Xenopus tropicalis: one gene and its partners. The protein of the gene in region 4 interacts with the protein of the main gene of each other region in a biochemical or structural test. Links are inferred from orthologs where the notes say so. Each region holds a gene or a part of one and is shown on either strand. Other genes may lie near its edges. The genes, in order: sgk1, map3k5, wbp2, nedd4, pmepa1, gabarap and map1lc3c.

The links.
Region 1: the proteins of nedd4 (region 4) and sgk1 form a complex in vitro, tested with the Homo sapiens proteins (3 studies listed by BioGRID, with this or other methods). The link is inferred for Xenopus tropicalis from reciprocal best matches to the Homo sapiens genes NEDD4 and SGK1.
Region 2: the proteins of nedd4 (region 4) and map3k5 form a complex in vitro, tested with the Homo sapiens proteins (2 studies listed by BioGRID, with this or other methods). The link is inferred for Xenopus tropicalis from reciprocal best matches to the Homo sapiens genes NEDD4 and MAP3K5.
Region 3: of the proteins of nedd4 (region 4) and wbp2, one has a biochemical effect on the other in vitro, tested with the Homo sapiens proteins (6 studies listed by BioGRID, with this or other methods). The link is inferred for Xenopus tropicalis from reciprocal best matches to the Homo sapiens genes NEDD4 and WBP2.
Region 5: the proteins of nedd4 (region 4) and pmepa1 form a complex in vitro, tested with the Homo sapiens proteins (2 studies listed by BioGRID, with this or other methods). The link is inferred for Xenopus tropicalis from reciprocal best matches to the Homo sapiens genes NEDD4 and PMEPA1.
Region 6: the proteins of nedd4 (region 4) and gabarap form a complex in vitro, tested with the Homo sapiens proteins (2 studies listed by BioGRID and IntAct). The link is inferred for Xenopus tropicalis from reciprocal best matches to the Homo sapiens genes NEDD4 and GABARAP.
Region 7: the proteins of nedd4 (region 4) and map1lc3c form a complex in vitro, tested with the Homo sapiens proteins (2 studies listed by BioGRID and IntAct). The link is inferred for Xenopus tropicalis from reciprocal best matches to the Homo sapiens genes NEDD4 and MAP1LC3C.

The regions. Positions count from the first base shown.
Region 1 is NC_030681.2:71,248,924-71,251,712, reverse strand, and holds the end of sgk1 (serine/threonine-protein kinase Sgk1), read left to right. Parts: intron 1-365; coding exon 366-521; intron 522-622; coding exon 623-712; intron 713-1,186; coding exon 1,187-1,354; 3' UTR 1,355-2,289; downstream 2,290-2,789. UniProt on the Homo sapiens protein: Serine/threonine-protein kinase which is involved in the regulation of a wide variety of ion channels, membrane transporters, cellular enzymes, transcription factors, neuronal excitability, cell growth, proliferation, survival, migration and apoptosis.
Region 2 is NC_030681.2:58,903,864-58,907,363, reverse strand, and holds part of map3k5 (mitogen-activated protein kinase kinase kinase 5), read left to right. Parts: intron 1-1,222; coding exon 1,223-1,328; intron 1,329-3,500. UniProt on the Homo sapiens protein: Serine/threonine kinase which acts as an essential component of the MAP kinase signal transduction pathway. Plays an important role in the cascades of cellular responses evoked by changes in the environment.
Region 3 is NC_030686.2:44,869,609-44,873,887, forward strand, and holds the start of wbp2 (WW domain-binding protein 2), read right to left. Parts: upstream 2,801-4,279; 5' UTR 2,734-2,800; coding exon 2,675-2,733; intron 1,448-2,674; coding exon 1,339-1,447; intron 632-1,338; coding exon 496-631; intron 352-495; coding exon 259-351; intron 43-258; coding exon 1-42. UniProt on the Homo sapiens protein: Acts as a transcriptional coactivator of estrogen and progesterone receptors (ESR1 and PGR) upon hormone activation. In presence of estrogen, binds to ESR1-responsive promoters. Synergizes with YAP1 to enhance PGR activity.
Region 4 is NC_030679.2:100,483,819-100,487,318, reverse strand, and holds part of nedd4 (E3 ubiquitin-protein ligase NEDD4), read right to left. Parts: intron 2,533-3,500; coding exon 2,478-2,532; intron 2,401-2,477; coding exon 2,342-2,400; intron 1,801-2,341; coding exon 1,735-1,800; intron 1-1,734. UniProt on the Homo sapiens protein: E3 ubiquitin-protein ligase which accepts ubiquitin from an E2 ubiquitin-conjugating enzyme in the form of a thioester and then directly transfers the ubiquitin to targeted substrates. Specifically ubiquitinates 'Lys-63' in target proteins.
Region 5 is NC_030686.2:5,338,580-5,341,639, reverse strand, and holds part of pmepa1 (protein TMEPAI), read right to left. Parts: intron 552-3,060; coding exon 397-551; intron 242-396; coding exon 188-241; intron 1-187. UniProt on the Homo sapiens protein: Functions as a negative regulator of TGF-beta signaling and thereby probably plays a role in cell proliferation, differentiation, apoptosis, motility, extracellular matrix production and immunosuppression.
Region 6 is NC_030679.2:153,336,136-153,340,065, reverse strand, and holds the start of gabarap (GABA(A) receptor-associated protein like 1), read left to right. Parts: upstream 1-1,130; 5' UTR 1,131-1,230; coding exon 1,231-1,320; intron 1,321-3,930. UniProt on the Homo sapiens protein: Ubiquitin-like modifier that plays a role in intracellular transport of GABA(A) receptors and its interaction with the cytoskeleton.
Region 7 is NC_030681.2:57,421,675-57,424,404, reverse strand, and holds the end of map1lc3c (microtubule-associated proteins 1A/1B light chain 3C), read left to right. Parts: intron 1-1,103; coding exon 1,104-1,263; 3' UTR 1,264-2,230; downstream 2,231-2,730.

The DNA of each region.
Region 1 (2,789 bases), on a different chromosome or scaffold from region 4:
TCAGTAATACTGAGTCATAAGACTCTTTTAGGCCAGTGCACAGTTCAAGTTCTGCTTGAGATCTAACCTAAAAATGGGTCTCTAAAACATAACAATAACCATGTCCTTCTGAATATGTTAAAGTAAACTAACCAAGACCCTATCTTATTTACAAATATCCAATGTAATGACATGGGGTCAGAAGGCCCTACACAATTGCTAAACTTTGGATGTTACAGTGTACATTCATATATTCAGATGGCCCTGGGTGGATTTTCATATTTTATGTTTTTGTCCCTTAGCTTGGCAGGCAAGGTAAAATTGAATGAGCAAATGTGTTTTTATAGGATATATGCTTATTTGCATTTGTTTTTCTCTTTCACCAGCCTCCTTTCTACAGTAGAAACACTGCAGAAATGTATGACAATATCTTGAACAAGCCACTGCAGCTAAAACCAAACATAACCAACTCAGCCAGGAACCTCCTGGAGGGTCTTCTGCAGAAGGACCGAACAAAAAGGATTGGTGCGAAGAATGACTTTGTAAGTAAAGTTTCTAAATATAACCATGTGATGTTCCAACAAGGCAAACACGTGTCTAATTACTTTTGATTGGTCTAATCCTATTTCTTCTTCTCTGACAGATGGAGATTAAGAACCACATGTTTTTCTCTCCAATTAACTGGGATGATCTGATTAATAAGAAGATTACACCTCCCTTTAACCCAAATGTGGTAAGTTGTCACTATCTTCATATATAGAAATTCATATGCATAAATTATTTTCATAAAGAAAGTTTTCATGTGCTTCATAGATGCTTTGATCATGTCTATTCCAGCAAAAATTATATAATGTTTTCTTGTGAACTTAGGGGTAGGTAGAGCAAGCAGTATTATAGCTTCCACATTAAAAGATATTGTATAGATAAATAAGCAAAATAGCACTTTTACATATTTACTTACTGAGCACTTCATGACCCAGCTATTGCACATGGGTAACTCCCAGCATCCTCTGTGAAAGCATTCAAATGCATTCCCTTGTATTATAGCAGGAGACTACCAAAGGTTAAAGTACTGGAATCTAAATGTCTATATTGTATTGCAGCATGGAATTATACGTTTTGAATAGACAAGATGCTAGGTTTTTATTTTGGACTGCACCTCAACTGAAATTACAATGTTCTAACAAACCATTTTTCTCTGTTTCAGAGTGGGCCAAGTGACCTGCAGCACTTTGATCCGGAATTTACTGAAGAGCCCGTCCCTAATTCTATTGGCCAGTCTCCGGATAGCATCCTCATAACTGCCAGCATTAAAGAAGCTGCAGAAGCATTCATGGGCTTTTCTTATGCACCACCTATGGAATCATATCTTTGAGCAATCCTTCTTTCTCGTCTAGTAGTCATTTCTAATCAAGTCACTTTGATTTTTATTTCCTTTTGATGAAATTTGCACATCCTTCACAACAGCATCACAGCCTTAATTTCAACATCCCTGGTATTGCTGGAAGGGACGAATCAGTGGAGCTGAGAAAAGGATAGAAAAAAGTGACTTTGGACTTCATACTCTGTTGTTGGGAGAAATAAGAACTATTTGCTGAATTTGCAGCATACAACCCTTATATTATACAGAGGGATACATGAGGGCTTCTTAAGCTGGAAGAAGACATCCAAGTGTGTCTTTATAGTATGGGGCTTTTGCAACGTGCCTTTCTCTTTTGAGAGATCTTGTCTATCATAAGAACCATCCATATGACGTGGGGGCTCTTTGGTTTTGACAGTGGTTTTACAAGTGAACAATGGTATGGGTGTAAAGCTTATCACAGTAAAACTGTGGTTTTGCACACGTTAATGTGACATGCGTTGATCGCTAATTTTGGGGCATTGTATATTTCTTCCATATGTGGAAGCTAAATTAATGTAGATAGAAATTAGTTATTTTTTTCCCTGTAGATAGTACTAACTAAATATATATTGAAATGAGCTTGCAGTGACCTTTGTTAAAATGCTTTTAGGAAAGCATTGCTGCTATTAAAATTTCTATTTTTAGAAATGTTTTGGTTTTTTTTTTCTGGACCAAAATGCCCCACATTTAGTTGTTCAAGGCTGTAATGCCTAGTTTAAACAATTTTATTTATGTTATTTTTTTTGACATTCCAGACCATTATTGTGCATATTGTATATAATCAAGAGATGTATATTTAAACTGATATAAGTGTATGAGTTGAACATGCCAATGTACTGTAATTAATAAGATAAAGTATCTTTTTTGTGACCAAACCTGTGGGTTTGCAATAAAACTTAAAAAATTTATTTTGTTTATTTGTTATAAATAGGTAGATGTGTAGGTTGAAGGTTGATAGTAATATAAACCATTCATTAAAGGGGTTAAAGCATTCCCTTCATTGTATCAATACTAATAAGTATTAATAGGTTTATGGCTCCATGGTATTTTGTACCATACCGACCAACATTTACAAAATAGAAAGAGGGACAAAAAGAACTGCAGCACATTGCAAAACCTGGGACACTGGGAGCAACATCAAAGGTTGGTGAGCATTATTTTGCTCACAAACCACCAGTTGGAGATCACTGTGTTTACCTATGGGCAGGACCAGCTGTGTGAGTTGATTGCGACTTCTAATCACAATGGTAAATTTTCAGAAAATGCTACTGAAATAGCCACATAAGCAAATGTTTTAGTCAAGACATAATGGAGGAACAATGCACGATGCCAAAATTCTGGAAAAAATTACCAGCCTTCCTATTATTATTGCTTTCCTCCCTGTTAATAACATTAGCATCAAACATCA
Region 2 (3,500 bases), on a different chromosome or scaffold from region 4:
ACCTTTCTGATACAGCTTACTTAGCTTTTGCCTTTCTTCCTCCTATAAATGGGGAAGTTTTGTATTCGTATTTTTCATAAACTAGGAATTCAAGTACTTAGTAAAATATACAATTTGTAGCATAAAAAAATCACTATTAGTAAAAAAGAGCAAAATACAAATAGTAAATGGGCCCTAAAATTTTAAGCTTTTCAGTGGCATTTAAGCACTTCATTCATCTTTACTTTTTCCAGGTACCCAGTGGTTTGTGTGTTTTATAGGAAATTCAGCTCTTCTTTAACAGATAGGGAAGGTACTCAATAGACCACAGCCCTGGGTTTCCTGATATCTACCTCTGTGTGCTATCCCTAAAGAATAGAAAGAATGAAAATATAAGATATATATAAGAATTTTCCTTTTTGATCTCAATATCTTAAATCTTATATTTGATGAATTAATCTTAAATTAGTGATTTTATAGCACTTTTCACATTACACATCATCAGTTACTTCATATTGAGTTTATATAAGGGTTATAAATGTCGCACTTTCCTAAACAATATGTCCACAATGCCATTATTACACTTCTTTCCTGACAAAGTAATTCAATCCCCCCTCTACTTTGCCCTACTTTAATCATTCGGTTGGTGTTATACTATATTATATGTACTTCTTTATATTTCATTTATTGATTAGGGGGTGGTGGCTTTTTTGGCACAGTATTGGTGCTTTAAATGTTTTTGGAGCTGAAAACATCATGTTTCAACATAGAGCATCTTTAGGTTGAAAACTGCCCATGCTGGTGCTGTTAGATTTTTCCTTTTTAAGTTCAGGAAGTGGCAGGTACTGCTGACATAATAATGCACAGAAAACATCCTATGCCCTCAACCTAAAGGAGCTGGTCAACTATTGACCAGTCTGTTTGACATGGAAATCTTAGTGCAGGGGTCCTCAAGCTAAGGCCCGCAGGCCGGATACTTCCCCCCAAGGTCATTTACCCGGCCCCCGCCCCCGCTGTATGCTCACCCCTGGCTACTACCTGTCTGCCTCAGTGTGGCCCTCGGCCTCAGTGAGTCACATAACTGCGTCCTACCGCCCAACGCTAATGGCGCTCCATATCTTAAAGACTAACTATAGTTTGGCCCCCCCAACAGTCTAAGGGACTGTGAACTGGCCCCCTGTTTAAAAAGTTTGAGGACCCCTGTCTTAGTGAGTATAGTCAATTTTCATTTTTCTTTTACCAGGTAAATAAAGTGCTACGAAATCATAACATAAAGCCTCACTGGATGTTTGCCTTAGATAATATAATTCGAAAGGCCGTGCAGACAGCTATCACTATCCTGGTACCTGGTGAGTCCCATATATATAGACCCATGTGTTCTGTTGCAAAACTATTGATAATTTGTTGGATACAAATGTTGAGTGTTTGATATTTGCTGAGTACTTCAAAAATATATTCACATTTTCTTTTTTTAGACAATCGTTCTTTTTAGGAATATATGTTTCCCAGAAGTAGTTAACCTATTATCAGCATTGTCCAGTATTACTGCAACAGTAGGTATTGAGCTCACTGAAGAGAAACTACTCCATCATGAAAATTACATTTTAACATGTGGAGATAGTTACATAGTTACATAGGGTTGAAAAAAGACCAGTGTCCATCAAGTTCAACCCATCCAAGTAAACCCAGCACACTTAACCCACACCTACCAATCTATACACTCACATACATTGATAATTGAGGAAAAGCATATGCAATATGCAATTTAACTGTCACTGCTAACAAAAATCCTAAATACTAACTCTGGTGGATGATTAATAAATAATGATAAAATATAGTTAATTTTGCATGGTTGTTTTCTGGATGCATTGAGTATACTTATGCTGTGTTTCACTTGCTGATTATTATCCCAAGCATTATAGATCCTATTCCTGTATTTATCTATTTATTTTGTTTTCATCATTTTCCCATAAGCTTGCAATTGCTATATACATTTAACTTTTCTCTGTGTAATCAGTCCCACCTTCTGTATGCCATTAAAATTTGCTTCACCTTTGTCTTACTTAAAACTGTATACACAAACTTACTAAAATGGCCATTCCTTTCCAATGCTGCTCCCTTCGCTTAACTTACCCTAGGCTCACTCCATGTCAGTGTTGCATAGTGTAGATATATATATATATATATATATATATGTAGTATATTATTACAAATATACTGGAGATTCCACTATTTACCACAGCCAGGTAAATGGAGACAACCACGGTTCTTTTCCAGAGATGAATCAATCTATTCAGATTGTCCAGCCCAGAGACAGCAAATAATACAAAGGTCTTTCGAACGTGCCCACAGGATATGTACTGTAGCCTTCAGAAGATTTCTCCCTGACCTTCCATATATCTTTGTGCGTGTATCTGTCTAAATGTGTAAGAGCTTCACAAGTTAAGGTGGCCATACACGCACCGATATTATCGTACGAAACCTCGTTTCGTACGATAATCGGTGCGTGTATGGTATGTCAGCGAGCCGACCGATGTCGCAGGAAGCTGCTGAAATTGGTCGGCTCTTCGATCGGCCAGGTTAGAAAATTTTGATCGGGCGCCATAGAAGGCGCCTGACCAAAATTCTCCCTTCAGAGCTGAATCGGCAGAAGGAGGTAGAAATCCTATTGTTTCTACCTCCTTACCTGCCGATTCAGCCCTGAATGGTGTGTGGCGGATCTGACGATGTTTCGTGCGACCGATGGTCGTACGAAACATCGTCAGATCGCCACGTGTATGGCCAGCTTTATACTGTTAGAATCTCGCTGACCAAAGTAGGGATTTGTTCTGATTGACAAGATAATCAGGTATCATAATCTTTGTTGTGTTAGTCAGTCAGGTCATTTCCATAAGGATGCTGTTTCACCATAAACAACTGAACAACCCGTTTACTTTGAAATGCTAAGAGAGGTTAGTCACTGCTATTTTTAGAAAACGAGTTCCAGTGACAAGTTGCTTGTTTTATCTCTACATAGAGAAAAATATAAATCGCCAGTACCTAAACTGACAATACCACTTCAAAATGCTTATCACTCCTAATCGCTATGAGACCCTTTTTCGAATGATTTTACAAAGAATTGAATTGAGCGGGAATTTGCTGCAATTTCCCCATTTCACTGAATGTAATTTCTAATTGTGGGCAGGGAATATGACACCTGGATTTGTGGGAAATAGAATTACTCTGTTGTTGAAATCTCTAGTAATCGCTTGTAAGGAAAAGACTTGCTTTTTAAAAATCGCTGCGACTAATCTCTCCGTGGGACATTAGCCTAAATGATATTAATATCATACACTTGTAGGTATGTATGCATAGTCCCCACACATATTACTACAGTCAGTATTTAAAGGGATGGTCCCCCCCCACCTCCTCCCACTAGAAGGACCCTCCCCAAATCTTTACAAGACCAAGCTCATCCACCTATCGGCATCTTTTTGGTCCTTCTGCTTTTTGAAAGCAACATTTTCTTTTTAATCTTAAGA
Region 3 (4,279 bases), on a different chromosome or scaffold from region 4:
GCATATATGGGTAGGCAACATTTGGAGCTCCTCCACTTGAGGCTACAAGGGCGAGTAGAAACCATATTTTATAAAAATGGGTAAAGGAAAAAGTGCATTGCAAAGGCTGAGGCAGAATTTCTGACCCATTGGGATTTCCCTTTAAATCTTTTCCCCGAGGTGTGGGGCTTGTGGCAAATGTGTATTTGCTCTCCTAGGTAGTCCTGGGAGTCCAGACTAAATGTCAAGAGATTGTGACTTCAGATACCCCCTGCTCACCTTGAGAGGCCACGTGTAGCATGTGCTGGCCGAACTCTATAGCGCCCCCTGAAGGAAAGCTTAGTTTAAATGTAGCAGATCCTTCCCAACCACCTGCAGGCAAAGAAATGAATTCCAGATTAAAAGATATATTTAACCTACAGCAAATTATATTAGCAAAAAATAAAGGCAGGTGTCCCAGGAGCTGAAGTGGGACCTAGAACGCATAGGTATCCGTCAGATAGTAACACTGCTCACCTCCAGGCTCAGCTCTCACGTTGCCCTTGATAAAATTGGCTCCAAATACGGGCTGCTTAATTTCACAGTCCTTCATCAGATAGAAGGGCATCATGAACGACTGCATGGGGTCCCTTCCTTTGGACACAAATATCACCTGTGGATGCAAAATTAGCCTCACCCACATGCATAATACACAAGAGCCGTAAAAGATATGCTTATAAATAGGTTAGAATCTGTGTCACATGACTCACTGAAATAATAATAACTGAAAGAATAATGTACCCCCTTGGAATAAAATGAGAGAATATTAGACACCTCAAAGCTTTAGGGCCTGTATTAAAGTGATTTTGTGCCGCCTTTATATGTTCATGGATCCCCTCTGTGACTTTTATTAAGGAGGTGTAGAAGGGCACTAGCCCTATATGTAATAAATGACACTAAAGTTTGGCATACACTGGCAAATCTAAGTTGCCGATTTGAGTCCTTCAGACCGTTTCGGGCGCTTATCTGCCCATGGGGCCCCCCAGCAGGCCTACCCAACCAATATCTGGATAAAAATGGGCAGGTGGCGAAACAATCGATTTAGCCAAATTTTGCCCACCTTAGGTGGAAATGATCCACTCGATTAAACCTTAAGTTTGCCTGATAGCAATAACCCACAGCAACCAATAAGTATATTCTACCTGCTGACTGGTTGCTATGGGTTACTGTTCCTGGGCAAATTTAGTTTTTTTAATTACATAACCCCCAAGTGTCTTCTCTGACCTAATGGAAAGTTTAGTTGCACATTAGCAGTTTATTCCATGGTGCCAATGAGTCAGACTGCACCTAATGAGTGAAGGAAAAGGGAGGCAGACTTACTCGATATGGTGTCAGAATGACTCTGCCTTTCTTGGTCCCTCTGAAAGCCTCTGGGGTGCTGTCCATGTCACTAAATGTGACCTCCACATGTTCATAAGAAGTAAGGATACTGGAAGATAATAAAGGGCAAGTTCAATGAGAACAGTGCAGTTTAGTAGTCAAAGACGAACTGCCAGCTGGACACCGGGAAAAAACCAAGCGGGCCCCTCGATCCCTGCTGGTGTTCCTGAACTGACGTCCCTCCACCAGACTGGGGGGTTTGGGATGATGGGGACCCCTTGGGGGTGTGGTGTGTGTGGGGGGTGGTTATTGTGCATCTTCATGATATTGGGCCAAACTGACTATCTGTTTGAGGAATAAGAGGAGTGCCCAAGGGTGTAAATGTAGAGGAAGAAGACCCTGCAACTGCCAAGGTATAAGAGATCAGTGTCAGACTGGGAACCCAGAGGCCCACCAGAAAACCTTAGACCCCAGGCCGCTTTTCCAAACTATTTTTCCTCCTTTCCTCACCCAACCTCTTTATTCTCCTAGTCTCTTTTATTTACATGCTAGCATCTATTCTTCCATCTATTTCTCTTCTTTGTTCCCATTCAGAAACAGGGAATGACCATGAAGCAGGCCAAATGCTGAGGAGCAGGAGGGCCCACTGACATCTGGGCCCACCGGGAGTTTTCCTGCTATCCTTGTGGGCCAGTCCGACACCGTAAGAGATCCAACAGAACACTGAATGATACGCGGTTTCAGTGGCATAACTGAGCCCTATAGCAAAATCATTTTAGCGCCCCAATAAACTTTAGGAATAAGACATTTTTTATAATAAAGCTATTAAAACTGCTTATCAGTCAGTGCCCTATGGGGCCTCCTATAATCTCCAGGGTCACTCTGCCTTCCCCGGGTCTGAGCGTTAAATATCTCCTACATATTGCAGCACTGTATACACCCCTCCACTGTATCATGTGATTATGTAAGTGCTTCATAAGAATATTATATTAAATTAATAATATAAATAATAATAAAGGGGGTTTAGTAAGTAAATCTCACAAGGGATACATGTGGGACATATTATATATAGATATGCTGATAGAATTAAGTATATTGTGCCTGGGAATAGGAAAACACACACAATATTATACAAATAGTACAGCAGACAGGCAAAGAGAGGGAGGCGGGTGTATCTGTATCAGCTCCATAATTGGCACAAATCCCTGCTCGTCATGTCCAAGCTCCGCCCCATATATGATGACAGATACCCGGAACCCATATTCATGCAGGGGGTCCGTCTAACGTTTCGCTGACTGCTTCCCGCGACTGTCTCTCTACTTAGCCGCTGTCCTACCTCTCGCTGTTGTTAATTACTGCACCTCCGCCATCCAGGTGGTTCCTGTTAAGGGCCATATTGCGGAGATAAAAAGGTCACACCTCCGCAGCCTAGCAACAGCCAATCACCGTGCTCGAAGAGTCTCTCGCACTTTGAGACGCAGTCTGGGCGGTTCCACTGCTGTAGGGCCGGCCGCTCATTGGCTGAGGGATCTATGACTGGCATGTGTTCTTGATCGCTAGGGGGCGTGTATCACTGAAAATAAACCATGGCCGCTTGAGGCGCTAATGTTGTAGTTGTGTTTCTGCGTTGCTAATACTTCATTGTAACGATCACTTAGCGCTGAGGCGCAGAGCTGCTCCGTGTATTACGGTTGTTACCAATGTAGCGCTGTGTTTGGGCGGCTATTCAGGGCAGTAAGTGTTAAATTCTACTTTATGGGGAATATCCAATCTTATTTTGTACAGTTATATCGGCCAATTAGTTAGTTAAACATACTACTTCACTACAAACCTCTCCTAACAGGATTTCATACAATCCCAATTGAGGTTATCACAGGGCTGATATTAAGCTATTTCATACTCCCCGCGTAGTTGCTTCGCCCCTTCTTACACTTAGGGGCACATTTACTAACCCACGAACGTCCAAAAAGTGTTTTTTTTTCGTAATGATCGGTATTTTGTGACTTTTTCGAGCGCTCAATACGAAAGTCGCGACAATTCGCGCAAGTCGTAACGGCTACGAAAAAGTCACAAAAAATATGAAAAAGTCGCAAAATGTTCGTTTTACAATCCAAATTTTTCCCATTCGGATTCGTGGATTAGTAAATCAGCCCCTTAGTATAGCGGCGGAAATACAAGAAGGTCTCTAACTGGTCGATGTATATATTAGTTGAGGTAAAGTTATCTTACAGGTAAGTATTACGTTGCGTTTCTCTAACATACGGTGGGTCCGGTATTGCCAGGGTAAAGCCGCCATACACGCACCGATAATATACGTAACCTCGTTTCATACGATATTCGGTGCGTGTATGGCAACTCGGCGAGGCGGCCGATATCACAGAAGGCTGTCGACTCACCAATCGGACCGGTTAAAAGATTTTGTTTGGGCACCGTAGAAGGCGCCTGAGCAAAATCTGCCTTCAGCGCTGAATCGGCAGAAGGAGGTAGAAATTAGAGCTGGGCGGTATGGCCAAAAATTTATATTGCAGTATTTTTCAAAATGATATCGGTGTCGCTGTATTTGACGGTATTTTTTTTTTTCCATGCATGATTAGGTGTTAACCCCATTTCCTAATAAATTAGAGAATAATTACTGTAGTATTGAAAATCAGAGTCAGGCAAGCGAAGGATCGGCAACAGAAAGTCGTAAGGTAAATCAGGCAGGCTTAGTTTCCCAGGCAAGGCCGCAGACAACATAGCACAGGAGGAGGCGTTTGATAGCTTTAAATACCCCCCACGCATGCGCAGAACCGGCGCCGTTAGCGCGTCGCGGACGTGCACGCTTTGACATGTACGTGCGCTTTGACGCACACACACCTGGACGCGCGTGCGCAATGTCCCGCGGACAACGGGACGCGCGCGCAAGGAGGCGTGCGAGAACGGGCCGCACGGGTGAGTACCC
Region 4 (3,500 bases):
TACAAATAAAACATTAGTAACTTGATGAATGTGTCCCTTTAAGAATTTCAAAATAGCAAACTTCGCACATAGCCCAATCTGACTTAGCAGCTCCCACCCAGTGAGACATGTAGATGCTATGCTGTGAGTAATTCTAACATATTTGACATTTGGAAGGGAAAGTCAGTAGCTGAGCCACTTCATAATACTGATGTCCCTAAAGGCTCAGTACACACATAATACAATATAAGTAGCATTATATAAATATATACACATATAAATAGAGGGTTTTGGAATTTTTAACCAAATATCTCAACATTGCTTAATGTGTTGGACACACATTTAACAATCTTTGGGGTTGATATTAAAGCAAAAATGTCAGATGCATGCCTTTCTAATGCCTCAAATGACATGAGATTGCTTACACCATGAAACAATGTATTAGCATAAGCTGGTCCTTCCACATATACAGTCAGAGAAACTACAGAGAAAGGAATGAAGAGGTCACAGTAAGGCCCTAATAATGAGCTACCGTATATACTCGAGTATAAGCCGACCCGAATATAAGCCGAGGTACCTAATTTTACCTAAGAAAACTGGAAAAACGTATTGACTCGAGTATAAGCCTAGGATGGGAAATGCAGCCGCTACTGCTAAGTTTCAATAATAAGTTTTTTCTACACATCGAAAAGCAAAACTGATACCATAAGAAATTCCAATTATCAAAACTTCTGCTTACCTCATATCTTCCTACATGCCCTCTCAGCCAATAAATTCTGTAAATTCTAATACCATTTTGTAAGATACAACTTACTGTGCTGTGATTCTCTTTTATTCAAAACAACATTTTGCGTGGCTGTAGCGAGCATGCAGACACGTCGCACTGCCGGCAACTCACCACCCCCGTGTCACCCCGAGCACTCTCCTACAGACTGCATGCAGGCAGGTCGCGTGGGCAGCAAAACCCTCACACCCCCGTGTGTCACCCCAGCGCTGACTCTTATCAATTGCATGCAGACAGGTCGCGCCAGCGGCATCCCCCCCATCACCCGAGCACTATCTCCTACTGACTACATGCGTGTCACCCGAGCACTGTCTCTTGTGGACTGCATGCAGGCAGGTCGCGCTGCCGGCATCAACCTCCCTCCCCCGTGCCTCTCCTACCAATGTGCACGTCGCCTGCATGTCACTCTCTGTCCTATGTCGCGCCTCCGGATGCTGTCCCGAGCTCTCACAATCCTGCCAAACTTACTAGTACCGGCGCATCAGTTGCAGGCACGTCACGCACACGCAGAGGGAGGGGGGTACTCGGGCGTGACGTGCCTGCAACTGATGCGCCGGTACTAGTAAGTTTGGCAGGATTGTGAGAGCTCGGGACAGCATCCGGAGGCGCAACACAGAGTGACATGCAGGCGACGTGCACATCGGTAGGAGAGACACGGGGGAGGGAGGTTGATGCCTGTATGCAGTTGTTTGATTTCGAGTGCTCGGGCGACGCAGGAGGGGCTCTGGGGGGTTGCCAGCGGCTCAACGTGTCTGCATCCTGCCTGAAACTGATGCGCTGGTACTAGTTGACTCGAGTATAAGCCGAGGATTCCTTTTTTAGCACATTTTGAGTGCTGGAAAACTCGGCTTATACTCGAGTATATACGGTATTTCAATATCTCTTGATATAGGTCAATTTACCAATCTTTTGGGGCCCAGTAAAATCTAGTTATGCCACTGCATACAGTGCTAAAACTGGGAGACAATTACCTGCTTCTTTAATTTCTTCCGGAAGTATTCATACTTTCTCTTATAATCCCTGGAGTAAGGCACAGCCTTGAAGGAGGAAGGACATTCATATTAGAATTGAACATTGAATACAAATTTGCATGAAAAGATGATAAATGTGTGGTTTAGCCAATCCTACTGCTGTTTAAGATATAAATTTGCATTTGTGCCAATGTGAACACACATTAGCATAATGTAAAGGAATAAACATAAAATCTGCTTTATGAAAGCAATCTTCTTTAATGGAAATACAAGTAATATTAAGGTTAGGGGTCATTTACTTTCCTAGGGGGTGCTAGGGGGACACGCAAGGTAGGGGGCGGGTAGAGGGGACATCTACGTGCCTCCCCCTGCCTTCACTTCACTAATACAGTGCTAACTAATGCAAGAGAACACAGAGGACTGTTGCTGTTTGTACAATGCAAGGTGCATAAACATGGTAGATAAATGGCTAATTGTGGCCATTTTTTTAACTTTGTTTTGCACAATGTGTTGTGCATTGTAAATGATACCTATGTGTACCTATATTGAGTTTTTTCTAAACAAATAACTAGAATCGAAAAGGTTTGGTAATAAACATGATACTTACTGGTCCAGTTATTGCTGCAGTTTGTAAGCGTGGATCCTCCCACTGTGTTTGCTTTGTGTCTAAAACAAATTATATTTTATTTTATAGGCAATTTACAACAAATATTTTGAAAAAGTAAATACAAAAAATAGCTTACTGTGATCAATGTAAAATACTCTTCCATCATTATGAGTTCTTTCTTCCCATCCAGGCTGTAAGAGATGGTTAAACAATATTAGTATTTTACATTCTATTTTGCCAGAGATTCCTGTGCAGAATGCAACAAAAAGAATCTTCCCCAAAAGACCAGGGAACCATCACTTGAGGGAAGTTGCCATATATTTCTGTAGTTAGGTCCAAATGTGACCTTATGCAATGCAGCTTACTGCAGTGACAAGCACAATTTGGCAAATAATGGCACCTTGGTGCCTATTAGGTATTTAACAAAGCTCAGCACTCTGCAGGTTCAAAAAATACACTTTGGTCTTGTTGAAAAGACCCGCAGAGTGTTGTACTTTGTAAAATACCTATGTAAGTCTGGGCTCTGGCTGGGCCATTCCAGAAGACCAATCCTCCTTTGGTGAAGCCATTGCTTTGTTGATTTTTATGTATGCTTTGAGTCATTGTCATGTTGAAATGTGAAGTTCCTCATCATCATCAGGTTTTGTGACAAAATAGACTGATACTTGGAGCTATTTATGATTCCAACCACCTTGACTAAAACACAGGTTCCAGCTTCTCTGTGGGTATGGTGTTCTTATGATGATGTGCTGTGTTATTATTGTGCCAAACAAACCTTTTGAAATTATGGCCAAATAGTTGAACCTTGGTCTCATCAGAACATAATACATTTTAACACATGGTTGGGGGAGACTGGGTATACCTTCTGCAAAGTTAAGCCGGGCTTGGATTTTGATCTTCTATGAGTAAAGGCTATCATCTTGCTACACTACCCCAGAACCCAGACATATGAAGAATACGACTGATTGTTGTCATATATAGGGAACAACCAGTATCTCCCTTCACATCAGTTTTAGAGACATGTCCTGATCTTGGTACAGTCACTGTTGAGCTGTATTTTCTACACTTGTTGATGACTATCTTTATTGCGCTCCATCAAATGTTTGGATACTTTTTTGTACACCTGTCCTGACTGCTATCTTTCAATGATGAGTTCCCT
Region 5 (3,060 bases), on a different chromosome or scaffold from region 4:
GGGACAGACAGCGACAGACAATAGCAATGACCTTTACACACAACTATAAACCCACTTAGAATCTGGAACGACGGCAGATTAGGAAGTTCCTTTGAATAGTATTTTTGTTTTGTTATACAATTGACAGTTATTGGGCGTAGTTCCCCTTTAATTCCGTGCATGAATAGGTGAATGCATTTCCTCTTACCTCTATGATTCCATTTCCCGACACTGTGCTTTCTGACGGCCAAAGATTTCCTTCCTGGGTAAGGAAACAGAGATGTGTTAGGTAGAACGTGTTTTATTATTGGGGTCACTGACCCCGGCGGCCAAAAAACTATTGTTCTAATATTGGGAAGTTGGTTAGAATCACATTTTCTTTGACTAAAAAGGATTTGCTGTAAGTATGAGACTTACCGAGGAAAGGTTCTCCTCTCGCCGCCTGCCCTGGCTGTGCCGGTGGATGAAGGATCGGGCCGAGAGCTTGTAGTGGTTTAGGAGACAAGTGATAACCACGACCATCACCATCATCACCACCACAATGATGATTATCTGGACGAACTCCAGCTCCGCTGCGGAGAGAACACAGAGACAGTTCCGTGAGTTACACAATGAACCTCCAGCCAATAGCACGTAAGCTCCTAACAATTATACCCACGATGTCTTGATTAGCATCTGACCCATATATATACCCTCAAACACTATGGCACCTCCCACCCATATGTATAAATACAAATATACAGAGAAGGAATGTTCTGGGCACACAATAAGCTGTACCCCCATACTGTACTGTCTAAGGGAAACACTATGGCACCCCCTACCCATATGTATAAATACAAATATACAGAGTAGGAATGTTCTGGGCACACAATAAGCTGTACCCCCATACTGTACTGTCTAAGGGAAACACTATGGCACCCCCTACCCATATGTATAAATACAAATATACAGAGAGGGAATGTTCTGGGCACACAATAAGCTGTACCCCCATACTGTACTGTCTAAGGGAAACACTATGGCACCCCCTACCCATATGTATAAATACAAATATACAGAGAAGGAATGTTCTGGGCACACAATAAGCTGTACCCCCATACTGTACTGTCTAAGGGAAACACTATGGCACCCCCTACCCATATGTATAAATACAAATATACAGAGAAGGAATGTTCTGGGCACACAATAAGCTGTACCCCCATACTGTACTGTCTAAGGGAAACACTATGGCACCCCCTACCCATATGTATAAATACAAATATACAGAGAAGGAATGTTCTGGGCACACAATAAGCTGTACCCCCATACTGTACTGTCAAAGGGAAACACTATGGCACCCCCTACCCATATGTATAAATACAAATATACAGAGAAGGAATGCTCTGGGCTGATATTGTACTACCTAAGGCCAATGGAGCATATAAGCCCCTGAATGAGGTCGTTAGTGAGATTATGAACTAACGGACAAATCTAAGCATTATGGGTACAACCTGTTTAATGAAACTTAAGTATCTTTGGTGCGTTTAGGAGGATTTGGCGGTATTCATGGGGCGCCACATCTTCATCCCGGCATTGTGCGCCATTTACAGAGGAACATATTTTGTTTTGTCCATAAAATTCCGCCTTTGTTGACGGAGAATCCTAAGCCGTGAGGTAATTTCATGCAACGCGTAGACGCAAGGCCAAAAGTATGTGCCCCATTTATATGTTAATAACGACATCCCCTCATAATATCAGTATCTAGAATAGGAGGGTTACCCCCCCACCCCAGGGACCCTACACCCCTCTGCCCTTGTCACACATCAGGCCGCGGCTGCGGTGTGACCGATGCCAATTTCTGATGAACAGACGTCTTTATGCCGCCCGCGACGCCTCTGCTGGGCGGCGGTGCCGTGTTGGGAAGCCGGGCAGAAAGGGACACGCTAAAATGGGAAAACACAGGCTCATTTCAATGCTCCCTCATTGGAATTCAAGGCCTTTTATTTGGATGTTTGATGCTTGACCGGCTCACACTGACCTTTGAAATGGCGAATTCTGGGACTCGCTGGGCTTTGTACACAGAGGGCAAAAACACTGGCAGCCAAGGGGCGAAGGAATATTTGCCCTGGCGATAACCTCGACATGTAACACGGGAGGCCTACGCTAGGGAAACAACCCCCCCCACAGACATGTAACCTGTTAAATCTCAAACTGCCCCAAAACTTCCCAAACTCTGGAACATTGTCGTTGGGACTAGGGCTGAACTACACCTCTCTGCCCATGTTAGTGCCAGGCTGCGGCCGCTCCACTGGGGCTTCAACACCTCTCTGCCTGTGTTAGTGCCGGGCTGCGGCCGCTCCACTGGGGCTAAACTACACCTCTCTGCCTGTGTTAGTGCCGGGCTGCGGCCGCTCCACTGGGGCTTCAACACCTCTCTGCCTGTGTTAGTGCCGGGCTGCGGCCGCTCCACTGGGGCTAAACTACACCTCTCTGCCTGTGTTAGTGCCGGGCTGCGGCCGCTCCACTGGGGCTAAACTACACCTCTCTGCCTGTGTTAGTGCCGGGCTGCGGCCGCTCCACTGGGGCTAAACTACACCTCTCTGCCTGTGTTAGTGCCGGGGCTGCGGCCGCTCCACTGGGGCTAAACTACACCTCTCTGCCTGTGTTAGTGCCGGGCTGCGGCCGCTCCACTGGGGCTAAACTACACCTCTCTGCCTGTGTTAGTGCCGGGCTGCGGCCGCTCCACTGGGGCTAAACTACACCTCTCTGCCTGTGTTAGTGCCGGGGCTGCGGCCGCTCCACTGGGGCTAAACTACACCTCTCTGCCTGTGTTAGTGCCGGGCTGCGGCCGCTCCACTGGGGCTAAACTACACCTCTCTGCCTGTGTTAGTGCTGGGGCTGCGGCCGCTCCACTGGGGCTAAACTACACCTCTCTGCCTGTGTTAGTGCCGGGGCTGCGGCCGCTCCACTGGGGCTAAACTACACCTCTCTGCCTGTGTTAGTGCTGCTGCTGTAGTGCTTATATCCCTTACTCCTCTCCGCTTCATCAGCGGCCGCTCCACTGGGGCTGAACTACATCTCTCTGCCCGTGTTAGTGCCGCTGCT
Region 6 (3,930 bases), about 53 Mb from region 4:
TCTCACACACACACACTCACTCTCACACACACACTCACTCTCACACACTCACTCTCACCCTCACTCTCTCACTCACACTCACTCTCACACTCACACTCTCACTCACACTCACTCTCTCTCACACTCACTCTCTCACTCACACTCTCTCACTCACGCTCTCTCACTCACACTCACACTCTCACACTCACGCTCTCTCACTCACACTCACACTCTCACACTCACTCTCACACTCACTCTCTCTCTCACACTCACTCTCACACTCACACACACACTCACTCTCACACTCTCTCACTCACACTCACGCTCTCTCACTCACACTCACACTCACTCTCACACTCTCACTAACACTCACTCTCTCTCTCTCTCTCTCTCACACACTCTCTCACTCACACTCACGCTCTCTCACTCACACTCACTCTCACACTCACTCTCTCTCTCACACTCACACTCACTCTCACACTCACACTCACACTCACTCTCACACTCACTCTCTCTCTCACACTCACTCTCACACTCACACTCACTCTCACACTCACTCTCACTCTCACACTCACACTCACTCTCACTCTCACACTCACACTCACTCTCACACTCACTCTCTCTCTCACTCTCACACTCACTCTCACTCTCACACTCACTCTCACACTCACTCTCACACTCACTCTCTCTCTCACACTCACTCTCACTCTCACTCTCACTCTCACTCTCACACTCACTCTCACACTCACACTCACTCTCTCTCTCACACTCACTCTCACACTCACTCTCACTCTCACACTCACACTCACACTCACTCTCACACTCACTCTCACACTCACTCTCACACTCACTCTCTCTCTCACACTCACTCTCACACTCACTCTCACTCTCACACTCACTCTCACACTCACTCTCACACTCACACACACACACTCCCACTCACGCTCTCTCACTCACACTCTCACACTCACTCTCACACTCACTTCTCTCTCACACAAACAGAATGAAACAGACTGAAAGGTTTCCGTTCCAATCGCACAAGTGAGTGAAGGGGCGGGAGGGGCGGTTGCTATGGTTACAGAGCTCCGGGCCCGATATGACGCAGCGGCTGACGTTGGGAAGGCGGAGCCACGATGCGGAAGTGGGGGGCGGGGCTCGGCCTGTTTATTTCCTGTCAGTGTCAGTCCTGAAAACAACAGGAACCGAAACTCCAATCGCAGTCTCGAACCGGTACCGCCCGGAGAGTCCGCCATGAAGTTCGTGTATAAAGAGGAACATCCCTTCGAGAAGCGCCGCTCCGAGGGGGAGAAAATCCGCAAGAAATACCCCGACCGAGTCCCGGTGTGTGACATACTGCCCCCGGGGCAACTACTGGGGCAGGAACCTTCCTCTGGGGCAGGAACCTTCCTCTGGGGCAGGAACATGGGGAGAGACTGGGGGTATAACATGGGGAGAGAGAGAGACTGGGGGTATAACATGGGGAGAGAGAGAGACTGGGGGTATAACATGGGGAGAGAGAGAGACTGGGGGTATAACATGGGAGAGACTGGGGGTATAACATGGGGGGAGAGAGAGACTGGGGTATAACATGGGGAGAGAGAGAGAGACTGGGGTATAACATGGGGAGAGACTGGGGGTATAACATGGGGAGAGAGAGACTGGGGGTATAACATTGGGGAGAGAGAGACTGGGGGTAATAACATGGGGAGAGAGAGACTGGGGGTAATAACATGGGGAGAGAGAGACTGGGGGTATAACATGGGGAGAGAGAGAGACTGGGGGTATAACGTGGGGAGAGACTGGGGGGTAAACATGGGGAGAGACTGGGGGTATAACATGGGGAGAGAGAGACTGGGCGGGTTATAACATGGGGAGAGAGAGACTGGGGGTATAACATGAGAGAGAGAGACTGGGGGTATAACATGGGGAGAGACTGGGGGTATAACATGGGGAGAGAGAGACTGGGGGTATAACATGGGGAGAGAGAGAGACTGGGGGTAACATGGGGAGAGACTGGGGTATAACATGGGAGAGAGAGAGAGACTGGGGTATAACGTGGGGAGAGAGAGAGACTGGGGGTATAACATGGGGAGAGAGAGAGACTGGGTATAACATGGGGAGAGAGAGAGAGACTGGGGTATAACGTGGGGAGAGAGAGAGACTGGGGTATAACGTGGGGAGAGAGAGAGACTGGGGGTATACATGGGGAGAGAGAGACTGGGGGTATAACATGGGGAGAGAGAGAGACTGGGGGTATAACATGGGGAGAGAGAGAGACTGGGGGTATATACGTGGGGAGAGAGAAGACTGGGGGTATAACATGGGGAGAGAGAGAGACTGGGGTATAACATGGGGAGAGAGAGAGACTGGGGGTATAACATGGGGAGAGAGAGACTTGGGGGTATAACATGGGGAGAGAGAGAGACTGGGGGTATAACATGGGGAGAGAGAGAGACTGGGGGTATAACATGGGGAGAGAGAGAGACTGGGGTATAACATGGGGAGTGACTGGGGTTACATGGGGAGTGACTGGGGGTATAACATGGGGAGTGACTGGGGGTTATACATGGGGAGAGAGAGAGACTGGGGGTATAACATGGGGAGAGAGAGAGACTGGGGGTATAACATGGGGAGAGACTGGGGTATAACATGGGGAGTGACTGGGGGTATAACATGGGGAGAGAGAGAGACTGGGGGTATAACATGGGAAGAGAGAGACTGGGGGTATAACATGGGGGAAGAGAGAGACTGGGGTATAACATGGGGAGAGAGAGAGACTGGGGGTATAACATGGGGAAGAGAGAGACTGGGGTAGACTGGGGGTATAACATGGGGAGAGAGAGAGACTGGGGGTATAACATGGGGAGAGAGAGAGACTGGGGGTATAACATGGGGAGAGAGAGAGACTGGGGGTATAACATGGGGAGAGAGAGAGACTGGGGGTATAACATGGGGAGAGAGAGAGACTGGGGGTATAACATGGGGAGAGAGAGAGACTGGGGTATAACATGGGGAGAGAGAGAGACTGGGGGTATAACATGGGGAGAGAGAGAGACTGGGGGTATAAACATGGGGAGTGACTGGGGGTATAACATGGGGAGTGACTGGGGGTATAACATGGGGAGAGAGAGAGACTGGGGGTATAACATGGGGAGAGACTGGGGGTATAACATGGGGAGTGACTGGGGTATAACATGGGGAGAGAGAGAGACTGGGGGTATAACATGGGGAGAGGAGAGAGACTGGGGGTATAACATGGGGAGAGAGAGAGACTGGGGGTATAACATGGGAGAGAGAGAGACTGGGGTTATACATGGGGAGAGAGAGAGACTGGGGGTATAACATGGGGAGAGAGAGACTGGGGGTTTAACATGGGGGAGAGAGAGACTGGGGGTATAACATGGGGAGAGAGAGAGACTGGGGGTATAACATGGGGAGAGACTGGGGTATAACATGGGGAGAGAGAGAGACTGGGGGTATAACATGGGAGTGACTGGGGGTATAACATGGGGAGAGAGATGGGGGGTATAACATGGGGAGTGACTGGGTATAACATGGGGAGTGACTGGGGGTATAACATGGGGAGAGAGAGGACTGGGGGTATAACATGGGAGAGAGAGAGACTGGGGGTATAACATGGGGAGAGAGAGACTGGGGGTATAACATGGGGAGAGAGAGAGACTGGGGGTATAACATGGGGAGAGAGAGAGACTGGGGGTATAACATGGGGAGAGAGAGAGACTGGGGGTATACATGGGAAGGAGAGAGACTGGGGGTTTTAAACATGGGAGAGAGAGAGACCTGGGGGTATAACATGGGAGAGAGAGAGACTGGGGGTATAACTCGGGAGAGAGAGACTGGGGGTAAATAACATGGGGAGAGACTGGGGTATAACAAGGGGAGAGACTGGGGGGTATAACATGGGGAGAGGAGGACTGGGGTATAACATGG
Region 7 (2,730 bases), on a different chromosome or scaffold from region 4:
AGTGTGGATCCAGTTTTGGCGGCGAATATGAAAAGTGGTAACCTAACTGAAGGGAACTGTTATTATAAAAAAACTCCTACTGAGAATTGGAACTGACGTGTGACAAGTAAAATTGTGATATTTATGATTGTACTGGTGTGACAAGAGTTAATAAAGTATTTGGGGATAGACAACAGCTCCCTGCACCTTTACTGGAGGAACTGTGACATAGGAAAGGACTCTTGGTGAGAGGAAGGCAAGTTGTTTTATTACTATGCTAACCAACTTGCACTTCTCCCATGCTCTCAGCATATCACGGTGATTACAGTACTGATTAATTGGCCTTCCAACCACTCAGTAAGTATTCTTTCTCTGCTTTGCCAAACCCGGCAAATCCACTACCATTCAGAATAAAATATGAACTAATAACCCTCACAATTAAAGCACTCCATAACTCTGCCCCACTTTACATCTCTGAACTCCTCTCCAGATACTTGCCAAACCATTTGCTATGCTGCTGTAATGACCTGCTCCTGATAACCTCTCTCATTACTTCCTCGCACCCTTGCATTCAATACTTTTGCAAGAGCTGTACCCCTTCTCTGGAATTCTCTACCATATTTTGTTGAATCTCTGTCTCTGAAAGATTTCTTGAAGGACAAGGAAAGGTTAAACAAAAAAAAAAAAAAAAAGTATAGCCATGGCATGTAGATATACTATGAAGGATTTCTCTTTAGGAGTTATTCAGAATGATTATTCACTTTTAAAATAAGTTAAAAGATGCTGTGGAAAGTTTATCTTCTGTACCAGAAATGAGCTGATTCAGGGTACATGCATGCACATTTAATCTCTCAGAAGCTATGGGCAGGTGCAGAAATGTATATTATTTTCCTATTCTATTCAGGGTGTCCTAATGCCTCCTGCTTTTAGAATGTAAGCTCCTTTGGGCAGGGCCCTCTTTACCCTTCATATTTGCTTTTGTATGTTAAATATAAACACCCATTTATTATACAGAATGTGAAGGCATTTTATAACATAACCACTATATTACTGTTACCATACTACTAATGATTCTTATTGGGTACAGAAAAAAATCTTTAAATGTGTGTTTTTTCTTTGTGCAGGAATCGCATGAACTTATCTGCTACACAAGCATTTTACCTTCTTGTGAATAACAAGAGCCTTGCCAGCATGTCACTTACGATGGCTGAGCTTTATAGGGACCATAAGGATGAAGATGGTTTCCTATATATGACATATGCATCTCAAGAGATGTTTGGTTGAATGCATATCACAAAAAAACGAGGACAATCTTTGTACTAAGAGGGGCCCAGATATGTACATGTGTAAATTCTAGACCCTAGTATTATATTATTATTTAAATTTACACCTTAAACATTTTTGGTCATTATTATAACATGGGCTGGAACTTAGAAGTATATGGCTATAGTGTACAATACTTTTTATTGAAATGTTTTCACTTAAAGGAACCTTTTATGTATGTTAAATATTTATTGAGCATCCTTTTAGAAAAGTCAAAAGATAATGCTTTTGTAAATTTATTGTAATAAAGGATTTAAAATATTTTATTTTTACAGAATTTTTTTGCAGATTCTATGTAGTACTAAACACAACTGTTTTCTCTAACTTAGAACAATTTTGTTTTTAGATAGACTTCCCCTTCACATGAAATAGTATTTGGGGTTATTGTGTATAACAGACTTTGCTCTGCACAGTATAAGTCAGTAGCTGCAGAAGCATAAAGTACTCTCTGCATAGAAAGGGCATTGACGGAATGCTTTTGCCTCTATATATTTCTTGTAAGACCTGGGCTTGGGTATGTATTGCAGCTTTGGGTACCACATCAAAATGTATATGTATTAATAACATGCAGCTAAAATTAATGGGCACGTGCTATTAGCAGAGAAGAGTTTGTTTTCTGTGGGGAAGAAGAATTTCTAAGAAGACACTTTTTTTAACACTGAAAAGAAAAAAAGAAGCCATCCCTTCTTTCACCTGAAGCAGTACAAATGGTTATTCACTGTTAGGACAGGGTGGGCTGTAAGGTTCCTAGGTTCTTTCTGGCTGTTTTTTTGTTTTTTTTTTTACTTCTGTATTTCCAATGTGCAATAGTGTATTTGTGTTTATGAAAAAACTCTGGCCAATCAAGAGGTTTTTGTTTTACATATATCACAAGAGGTTACTGCACAAAATCAGTCAGCCTAATGCTAAATAAAATCTCTTCATAAAATAACTACTGCCTTAATTTAACTGTGGAGGGTGTCAAAAATAGTTATTGTTAATTTACTGATTTGCCTATTTACCAATTAATCCAACACCTGGATATACTGCCTGATTATGTATGTATGTATGTGGGATAGCTTGGTTTGTATTGGCTATAAACAGGAACAGATCATAGTTAAATCTGGTTGAAAAAAAAACCCAAGTTCAAATCTTTCCATCGAACCCCAGCGCGCACACCTATACTGACCTATCTATACACTTGCATACATAAACTACAGTATATATACCAACATTAATACTAATTGCACATTTTAGTTTCCCAATAGCCTTGGATATTTTTGTTCAAGAACTCACCCAAGCCCTCCTTAAAAGCATTAAAAGAATCTGCCATCACATCACTAGGAAGGGCATTTCACAACCTCACCGTGAAAAACCACCTACGCTGCTTCAAATGGAAGTTCCGTTCCTCTAATATAAAGGGGTGATCTCTGGTGCACTGGTCCTTTT